Linked DNA regions of Caenorhabditis elegans. The protein of the gene in region 1 interacts with the protein of each later gene in a biochemical or structural test. Each region holds a gene or a part of one and is shown in the gene's direction. Other genes may lie near its edges. The genes, in order: mek-2 and ksr-1.

Region 1 (4,887 bases):
ACTTATATTATCCGATTAGCAGGTCAAAAATCCCCGTTTTTGGCACGGATCCACTGAAATCTCAATAAAAATCACATTTTCTCGAAGAAAAAAGCAACAAAAGAGCCGTCATCCCCCTCTCAAATTTCCTCTCCTCCTCAATTTCGATTAAATTTTTAATTATTTAGGCGCTTTTTCTGCTCTCTTTTTTCTTGCTCCAGCAGCGGCTCCCCGCATCTCTCATCGCCTTCTTCTCTTTTCTTCTCGCTTGACCGAGCTCTCGCAGTCCGGAAAAGCAGTCAATAAGCTAGAGAGCCGTGCTTTTTTTTCACCTGTTCTCAAAAATCGCCACTTCACGACAGGTTATATTCATCAATCAATTCATCACGTTTTTGCCTCGATTTCAGAGAAAACTAGTTGTTTCGGAAGAAATTAATCGCGAAATTTTTTTTATTTTCCCTTTTTTCAGACGGCTAAAATCACGTGGAAATTTATAATTGTATAGGTTTTCACTCAAATTGGCTCGAAATAGCTCGAAAAAATTCCAAAATGTGTATGGCGAATCAAAATTCGAAAAAAAAAAACCAAAATTTGCTAAAATCAGCGGCTAAAAATCCAGTTTTCATTGAATTATCTTCATTTTTTTAGAATTTTTGGCTTTTTGCCACCCAAAAATGGTCTCAAGCATTGAAAAAACACTGCGACAAGGAAAAGTTGACAAAATGTAGGATTTTAGCAATTTTTGCTTCAAAAACACGCCAAAAAACAGTTTTGGAATTTTTTAAAAATATGTAATTTTAGGTCATTCTGAGTATATTTAAGTGAAAACCCTCTTTAAAGGTGAAGTACCGAAATTCGAATCTTTGCTTTTTTAGACCCAAATTGGTCCAAAACTACCGAATTTCGTAATGAAACGTTTCGAAAATTTCTCAAAAAAAAGTTATGGCGGTTCAAAGTTCGGCAAATTAAGGCCCACAAAATTAAGGCCCAACGTCTGGAACCCAATTTTTATTTATTTATCACTTTTTAATAAATATTGCGGTCTTTTATTAGGCTTTTATTCGTTGTTTTAAGTACATTTATGGTCAGTGGGCACAAAATGTAACTTTTATTTGTGCCCCAAAGGCCAGAAATATGCTTAAAACAACGAATAAACGCCCAATCAAAGACCACAATATTTATTAAAAAGTGATGAATAAATAAAAATTAGGTTCCAGACGTTGCGACACCGAGAAGTTGGAAAAAATTTTGATTTTAGCTGAAAGTTGGCCTTATTTTGCCGAACTTTGGACCGTCATAACTTTTTTTTGAGAAATTTTCAGAATGTTTCATTACGAAATTCGGTAGTTTTGGACCAACTTGCGTCTAAAAAAACAAAGTCTCAAATTTCGGTACTCCACCTTTGATTTCTGAAAAAAAACTCTGCTTTCAGTTAAAATTACCAAAGAAACTAAATATTTTTAATATTTCCTGACTAATTTTTAGAAAATTAAATAGTTCTGAGTATTTTCTGAATTAGACTCCAAAAATCGCTAAATTTTCCCATTTTCCCCAGTTTTTCATAAGTTTTCTTGGAATTTTCCTCGTTTTTTTTCTAAAAAAAACCTCTCGATTAAAATAAAATCCAACTATTTTCCAGATAATGTCGAGCGGAAAACGGCGTAATCCGTTGGGACTCAGTCTACCACCGACAGTAAATGAACAAAGTGAAAGTGGCGAGGCGACGGCGGTAATAATTTAAAATTATTTTTAATTTTTAAATATTGAATTTAAAAAATATAAATTTCCAGGAAGAAGCCACCGCGACAGTCCCACTAGAAGAACAGCTGAAAAAGCTCGGGCTCACGGAGCCACAAACTCAACGGCTCAGCGAATTCTTGCAGGTCAAGGAGGGCATCAAGGAGTTGAGTGAGGATATGCTACAGACTGAAGGAGAACTTGGCCATGGAAATGGAGGAGTTGTTAATAAGGTTGGAATTTGCTGAAATAAGCTGGAATTTGGAAATAAAAAGTTCAATTTTTCAGTGTGTTCATCGAAAAACCGGTGTAATTATGGCTCGGAAGCTTGTACACCTCGAGATCAAGCCGTCAGTCCGACAACAGATCGTCAAAGAGCTCGCCGTACTTCACAAGTGCAATAGTCCATTCATTGTTGGATTCTACGGGGCTTTTGTGGACAATAACGATATATCAATTTGTATGGAGTATATGGATGGGCTTTCACTTGATATAGTTTTGAAAAAGGTAATAGTTTATTGGAAAATGTGCGGGTATGTTGGAAAATGATATGGTGGACAGTTCTCGCAGGATTCTCGGATTCGGCTTGTCCTTGTGATCCGCATTGTCGATCTGACCAAGCTTCTACTCGGAGTACCTGGCTCTGCCGATGGTCCGAATGATCCTTGTGATCCTGAAGCTCCGACCTTCTTCCCGGTACCTGGAATTCCGTCTTTCCAGAGGTTCCTGGCGGATCCTGTTCAGAAGATCGAACTCCGGCGTCTCAATTGCTTCCGTCTTGTCCTGGAGATCTGCTCTTTCCCGGATGTCCTGGTGGGCTTGCTGGAGCGTTTCCTTCTGGAAGAAGTTCTCCAGGCTCTCCTGTGGTCCAGAAGCTCACGGGCATTATGGCGGAATCGGGAGAGTTCAATCACGAAGCTCGTCCTGGTGATCCTGGATCACCTGATTCTCCGACTTTTCTATGGTTCCTGGCGGTCCCTGAGCTCGCTGGTGGGCAGTGCTCGCACAATCCTGGTATTCGGCTTGCCCTCCTCCTGGGAGAAGTGCTCCAGGCTCTGCCGATGGTCCGGATGATCCTTGTGATCCTGAAGCTCCGTCCTTCTTCCCAGCACCTGGAAGTCCGTCTTTCCAGAGGTTCCTGGCTGAACATATTCAGAAGATCGTCCAATAAAAAGCTCGTCATTCTGGATTTTTAAACGAAATCTTTGGCTCACCCTGCTCTCCAGCAACTCCGTACGTGGTGTCTGTCCGCTGTCCCATTACGGTTTGACCTACAAAAAATGCGGCAATTTTTTCCCCAAAAAATGTGACGTCAGCTGAAAATTCTTCGTCTCGACTCCCGCATTTTTTGTAGATCTCGGTAGATCAAACCAAAACGGGGCAGCCTGGCACCACGTGCTCCGACGTCTCAACTTCTTCCGTCTTGTCCTGGAGATCTGCCCTTTCCAGGATGCCGTGAGCCTCCTGTCCGTCTTGATGGCCTAGTTGGGTTTGCTGGAGTGTCTCCTTCTGGAAGAAGCACTCCAGGCTCTCCTGTGCTCCCCCAATACCTCCAACAGAAGCTCACGGTGCTCTCCTGGTTCTTGACCTAGTTCTCTTTCCAGAGGTTCCTGGCGATACCTGAGCTCACCGTGCTTCACAAGCCTCTTCACCCTTTTTTTTATTAAATGGACAACTACGACATATCGATTGAAAAAATAATATAGTTTATTCGAAAATGTACAGACAGACTCGCATAAGCTTCTAATATCCTGGAGCAAGACGTGCTGGTGGGCAGTGCTCGCACGATCCTGGAGATCCGGCGTCTCCTGGCGATCCTGGAGTTCCGGCTTGTCCTGGTGGTCCTGGTGGTCCGCGTTGTCCTGAAACAAATTTAACGTTTAGAAGAAGAAGAAGAAGCCTAGCTTATCATGATAATTTACCTGGCTCTCCAGCAACTCCGGCGTCTCCGTTGCTTCCGTCTTGTCCTGGAGATCCGGCCTTTCCTGGCTGTCCTGGTGCTCCTGGCCGTCCTGGTGGTCCGGATGGGCCTGGTGGAGCGTCTCCTCCTGGAAGAAGTGCTCCAGGCTCTCCTGGTGGTCCGCGTTGTCCAGGCTGTCCTGGTTGCCCAGGTGGTCCCGGTGGTCCGGATGGTCCTTGTGGTCCTGGAGCTCCATCCTCTCCGTTTCTTCCCGGGTTACCTGGAATTCCATCTTGTCCTGGTGGTCCTGGTGGTCCTCCAAGTCCTGGAGCAGCAGTGCATGGGCATTGTGGTGGAACCGGGAGAATTCGATCATGAAGCTCGGCATCAGGTCCTGGTGGTCCTGGCTCTCCTGGTCCTTGACCTGGTTCTCCGTCTTTTCCAGGAGTTCCTGGCTCTCCATCTGGTCCTGGTGGTCCCTGTTGGCATGTGCAGCATTGAGCATCAGCTTGACGTGTAGCTCTGAGCAGAACATCAAGTGGATCATCAGCACCTTCCGGTGCAACCTCGACCATCTCACGCCACATATCCCGAGATCGGGACTTGCAGTACTCAACCTCTCCTTGTACGGAAGCTTGAAGGGTCTGCACATAGTGGAATACCAATGGGAAAGCGATAAGCACAGCAGTCACTGCGACTGTGGAGAATGTGACGGCGACGAACGCCACACTTCGCAACGATCCCTTGCTCTTCTCGTCCATCTGAAATTCTATGAATTTTCTAGAATATTCGAACAAAGAATCAAAGGTGAAGAAGGGAAATGAAAAATGTCAGAAGTGTCAAAAGAATAAGAAGAAGAAGCCTACACAGTCATTTGCCGTTGCCCCCGAGTGCTTATATGCGGCCGCTGTGGTGGAACGAAACGGCAAGTCGCGCACTTCTGTGTGCGCTGCGTCTCATCGTTGCGCACGCAATTTCCGTGCGCCCCGCGCAGTGAACATCCCTTGCGTTTTTTTTTTCGATTTCCTCATCTTCTCCGCCCGTTGTTGTACATGACTGTTGATTATGATGACACATAAAGTATCAAGGTGTGGAAAAAGTAGGGGAAGGAATCGAAGAGCAGTTCGGCTGGAAGTTTTGGGACTTCGAAAAGCCAATAATCGAGTTTCGGCGCTGTAAATGAGTTTTCTACTCTTTCAGGACAGTTAAATAATGTAGTTTTTAAAAGATTCCGTATAGAAAGTCTAGGGCTTCCATGTCGGCGTTGAAAC
Region 2 (5,302 bases), on another chromosome or scaffold:
ATGGACAATTAAAAGTATGTAGATAAAGATACTGTACATTTTTGTTTGATAACAATTTTCCATAAAATTAAAAAATAAACAAGCTATGGGTTTCCAAATGTAAACAGACTGAGACAATACTAATAGAGAAAACAGGAGAATTTTAGTAAATGTCCATTCGAAAAACCGAAATTGGTTGCCTGTCAATGCACATCCAAATTCACGTCTTTTATCATAAAATTTGTAATAAAGGACTAAAATCAATGAATAGTGATAGTTCAACAAAAAATGTTTGTTGTCCGCTGCGACGCGTATAAATTTGTAAACTTTAAATTTTTCTGCTAAATACAATCGGTTTTCATTTTAAACAGCATTTTTTGAGAAGTCTCTTTTTAAAACACAGTCTAAACATTTTGGTCCATTAGTCGTCTTTTAAAACGTAATTGCTATTACTTCAGTACTTATATTTTACCCTAATTTTTGGCTAACTTTACCATAGTTTTTGGCACGTTCAACAAACTACCCATAATTACTTTCAAAATTTTCATCGAGCAGGAACAACATTTTTAATGTTGACTTTGCCGAGATGTTACACTAAATTAGTTGTGATCTGCCAGCAAACCAGGAACTAAAAGCTTGTTCAATGCATTCCTGGTATGAATCTTGACCTACTCTTAAGTTGATTACGCAACATTTTGAACACCTGTTGTGGTCTTCTCATTGCGGACCATTTTCTCTCACCCCATAGACATACAGTCTCCTCTCTCTCTTATTCATACACTATTCCCCCCATCCTCCCGTCTTCCCGACATTTTTGCGTCCTTTCCTACTATTCCTACTGTCAATCCACACCGTTCTCCCCTTTTCTCTTCATCACGTTCAAACAGTTTGTTTGCTTGCACGCCGATCTTTCTTCCTCTTTCTCTTTCCACAACTCTCAGCATTCTAGCATTATTTTCTCCAATATATTGAACAGTATTTGAATGCAACGTTTCTTTTAACTTCCGACCAAAGCCTTATGGCAATTTTTTCTCACAACTACTCTTTTCGGTCGGCATTGCTTAATTTTTAAGCGCCATACTGTTGTTCGGTATTTCATGTGAAAGCGAAAAATTAAAAAAGAAAGAAAAGTTAAGCTTCCTAATTTTTGTATTTGTGGTAGTTTTAATACGCAAAGCTAGGAAAATGTAAAACTCAAATTGATAAACTATAATTACTTAGGAGTGATGATAAAGGATAATCGATTTTTTAAGTGAAATAGTTGAATATTTCTACTCAATAAAAAAACACATTTAATATTGGTAGAGTACAATTATTGGATTTGGAACAGTATTCTAATTAAAGAAACAAAAGAAGCCAAAATAAAAGTAGAATGCCATTGAAAAAAATCGGGACATTGTGATGTAATAAGTCTAATCTAACCACCGGAAAAGAAAATGTGGTCGAAAATACCAATTCTTCTTTTCTTCTCGTCACTTCTAAATTGAGTAATGTACATAACCTGTCTCATAATTGTTCGCCACGCAACCTTCACAATTTCGATGGCAGAAAGCCGCCGAAAGCTTTTAATTTACTTTCCGGACGATTTCGACTTTTCTAGAAGGTTAATACACACCTTTTTTGAGTAGATGATGTTGTAATAGTAAACAAACTGTAAGCATACTTATATTGGTCATCGCAATTTGACTTTGAATTGTAAACATCCAATTGTGATGGAATTTGTAGGAAGAAAATATTGTAGATTTTACTAACTCATGAATTGAAATTTCTGACTGTACTGTGGGGCATACACATATTTTCTCTAATTGTCTTGCTCCCTTACAGTACGAATGCAAACCATACTAACAGAAAAAACTCGGCACTTTTCAATATTACTTGCTCGTTTGCTTTTCTAGTCATTTAACGCCTTTCTAAAGCACCAAATACATTCGTATTGCCCTGCTCCCACTACCACACATACATAAACGAAGGATGAGCTCACAGGGAGCCATTTGATAATTGCGACGACACACACACATACACAAAATGAGAAACCAAGCAAAAAAGAGTGTGGCGCACGTGTGAGCTCACAGCGTGCTCCGTTTGCACCGGGGATTTCCAAAAGTTGACCAAAAACCAGCACTGTTTTTTCTTGGCAACCTTTTGAACGTTGTGCTCAACCAACGAAAGATTTATTTCAGGGAAAAGATCCGGAGAAGGTAAAAACTAACCAATAATATCAATACACAGAATGATGCAAACCCAAGTTGCATCACGTGCGGGATACAGTAATCTACCGCAGTTTGGTGCAGGAATCGCACAGGATATAAAGACACAGGCTATAAATAATTTGAAGGGTTAGTAAAAAAAATTTAAAAAAAAACAATTCGAAGTTGCAGAATGTTTGAAACTTACCACTATCAATCGATTTTTGACTTCATCATACGAAGAAGATGCAAAAAGTGTAGAAGTAAGTTTTTTTGAAAAAAAAACAACTTTTGTAAAAATTCAAACTTCTCCTATTCGTGAGCATCGTTGTTTTATAAACTGTAAATAAATGAATTCAAGACAGACTAGTCTTCATTCAGCAGAAAAAATTTTTAAGATGCTTTAAAGTTTTGTTCATAAAATACACTATACATATATTGACACCTCAGTCCAAATTGTTTTAGATCTTTGTGGTAAACCAATCTGTGGTACTAAACGTTTTTCTAGACGTTTTCCGTTTATACTGTAAAGTTTATTTGTATAATTAAATTCTATAATGGTATTTTGATAATAAATTTAAAAAATTAAAAATTTAGATGCACAACTTCGTGCATGAAACGCTAATCGTTATATTTGAAAAACTGAAACTTACTTTCAAACAAATGTTGATTTTCAAATGTTTTAAATTTAGTGAGTTTATGATATTTTGAATATGAAAAAATATCAAAATATCAAAGCTTTTAAAAAATAGATTTAAAAACTTTAAGTGAATGTAACTCTTTTTTTCTACGAATTTTAGTAATCAAGATATCAGAGACAGATGAAAAGGTGAAACAACCTGAAACAAATGGTCTGAAATCTTTCATTGACGTCAACTAAATTCCAATGATTCTCAATTTACAGCGCAAAATATTCTCGGCCGTTTATCAAATGACAAAAATTGGTTTGATTGATCGCGAGAAGCGTGAGATCAACGCCATTTGGTTCACATTTGTCGGGCTCAGCGCACAAAACATTCGGCACTTGGAGATTTGCTCGATCACCGATTTCAATGCTCTGTTCAGCATCACTAACCAAGAGGTTTGATCCTTCTCTTTTTTGCTCTACCTTTTCTCTCTTTTCTCACACATCATTTCCTGATTTTACACCTAACAGAAACATACAAACACTCACAAATCGGGTTCTAGGCATATCTATATCCTTCTAAATGTCTTTCTGCTGATTCGGGTCACAACCTTCAACATTATCGTTTTATTCTTAAACTTCTTTTCATTTCCCTCTACGCTTCCCATTGGTTTGGGGTGTTTGGGAGTGCGCTTTGACGCTCTTTCCCTCTCGTTTTTCCGTTTCTGTTTCCGTCTCTTCTTTCTTTCTTTTCACCTTCTACTTTCTGCATTTCTCTCCTTTCCTTTCCCACTCTTCTCTTTCTCTAGAGGCCAGAAAACTGCAGCTCTCTCCGTTTTTTTCCTGATTTTTGTGAGCTAATTTGTTATCCAAAAAAAGAAGAGTAAACAGAAAAAGAGGATTAGGTTAATTGTTACCTATTGATATTCTGCTCATTGTTGTTTTTTAAGACTCACGAACTTTCTCTCAGCTAGCACATGCATAAGTCATGTATCTGACTGATTTTTATCATCTCATTTCGTAATTGTTTGAATTTGAGTTTCGACTTTTCATTTAGTCATTTTGCAGCAGGAAGTGTTTTTCGAAATGAAATTTGTCTTACTTTTATCTGACAAATCAACTAGTTTGGTAATTTTTCAGATTTAAAAATTTCCTTTTTTTCATTGAAGATTTTTTTAAAACTTGATTTGTCAAATTTTTTAAGATAACTTTACCATTTAATTTACAACAACATTGAACAAATCAATTGTTAAATTTGAATTCGAAACAAAACTTGAAAACTTCAAGTGGCCTTTCATATGATAATTGGCCAAAATATTAGAGTTGATTTTGAATGAATGTTTTTTGTGAGAACAACTATGCTGAAGCATTTCTGGAACATTCATTGTTTTTAGCGATCCAAAGCATACACGTTTTTGTTTTTTTGCATTGCCTCCGTATACTCGGTAACGTCATTCGTGTTCCAACAACACCTGTTACATTTCTACGAGTTGTTTTCACTCTTGTCTGCATGTTATCAAACTTCTATTGCTCGTTTCATTACTTTTAACCGAGTTTCTCTGTGCTCCGCCTTCTGAACATTTGAACCCAAACATAAAAGTTTATTTCAGTTGCGATCGCTTGCGGATCGTGGTCGTCTTGATGTGGAGACCAAACGAAAGTTGCTTCAATCTACAGTGATTTTACAAAATCACTGGAACGGTAAGTGTGCGGCAATTTGAAAATTTGTATTAAGTAAAATGTAGAAGAAAATAATTCTTGCCACGAAAATTTTGCAACTGTTATTTTTTGAAAATGTTCTCAAAATTCCTTACTTTTCTAGTTATTTTCATAAAAATTTATAGTCTCAAAACCAGTAATTTGACATTTTTTAATCAAACTTTAAAATTTAACTTTAATCAATCCCGAGATGGTAACTGCAAAATTAAAAAAAAACAAGACGGTTTTTATTAAAACAATTTTGAAGCATATTTTATACTGAGTTTGCTCCACTTCTTGAAAATTTAAATCACTGTCAAATGTTCAAACCCCATACATTTTAAAATTTGAATATTTTGAATGTAATTGAAATAAAAAATGGAAAATTTTATGATGGAGGACTTCCGCAAAAACTGGTGACCATTTAGTATTGAGCTTTTTGATTTTAAATAAAAAAAACTTTCCAAAGTTTTTGGAATAATTTTATTATGGTATATTTGATTATTTTTGTACCATAGGAATGGTTTTGAAAAACTTCCCCCGCAGATCGGAGTCCGCCTTCAAACGTCGTTTTCGGTTTATTTGTTAATTTTAGAATTAATACTTTAAGCAGCCTGAGAATTAAAAAATCAACCTTATTCTTTTATTCAAATTAAAATTTTTAAAATGTAGTGTAATGATACACATTGAACCAGCAAATTTGACATAGAAATACCGCACATCTTTCAAATGTTCTCTATGGTTCATCTACTTCGAAAAAATGTTGTGAAAATAATTTGTTCTTAGAATGAAACCTTTTCACAAAATGTTTATG

What was found.
Region 2: the proteins of mek-2 (region 1) and ksr-1 form a complex in vitro, tested with the Caenorhabditis elegans proteins (one study listed by BioGRID).

Annotation. Positions count from the first base shown.
Region 1 is NC_003279.8:3,010,180-3,015,066, reverse strand, and holds the start of mek-2 (Dual specificity mitogen-activated protein kinase kinase mek-2), read left to right. Parts: upstream 1-1,618; 5' UTR 1,619-1,621; coding exon 1,622-1,708; intron 1,709-1,769; coding exon 1,770-1,949; intron 1,950-2,004; coding exon 2,005-2,223; intron 2,224-3,401; exon of another isoform or gene 3,402-3,459; coding exon of another isoform or gene 3,460-3,578; intron 3,579-3,638; coding exon of another isoform or gene 3,639-4,377; exon of another isoform or gene 4,378-4,383; intron 4,384-4,448; exon of another isoform or gene 4,449-4,574; intron 4,575-4,887. Other genes in the region: col-48 (Nematode cuticle collagen N-terminal domain-containing protein), read right to left, coding at 3,460-3,578, 3,639-4,377. UniProt on the Caenorhabditis elegans protein: Functions in the let-60 Ras signaling pathway; acts downstream of lin-45 raf kinase, but before the sur-1/mpk-1 gene product in controlling vulval cell differentiation. Required for progression of developing oocytes through the pachytene stage.
Region 2 is NC_003284.9:8,273,010-8,278,311, forward strand, and holds the start of ksr-1 (Kinase suppressor of Ras A), read left to right. Parts: upstream 1-2,159; 5' UTR 2,160-2,209; coding exon 2,210-2,315; intron 2,316-2,357; coding exon 2,358-2,428; intron 2,429-3,069; coding exon 3,070-3,246; intron 3,247-4,400; coding exon 4,401-4,491; intron 4,492-5,302. UniProt on the Caenorhabditis elegans protein: Serine/threonine-protein kinase which positively regulates Ras-mediated signaling probably acting at the level of let-60/ras or/and lin-45/raf. Involved in sex myoblast migration.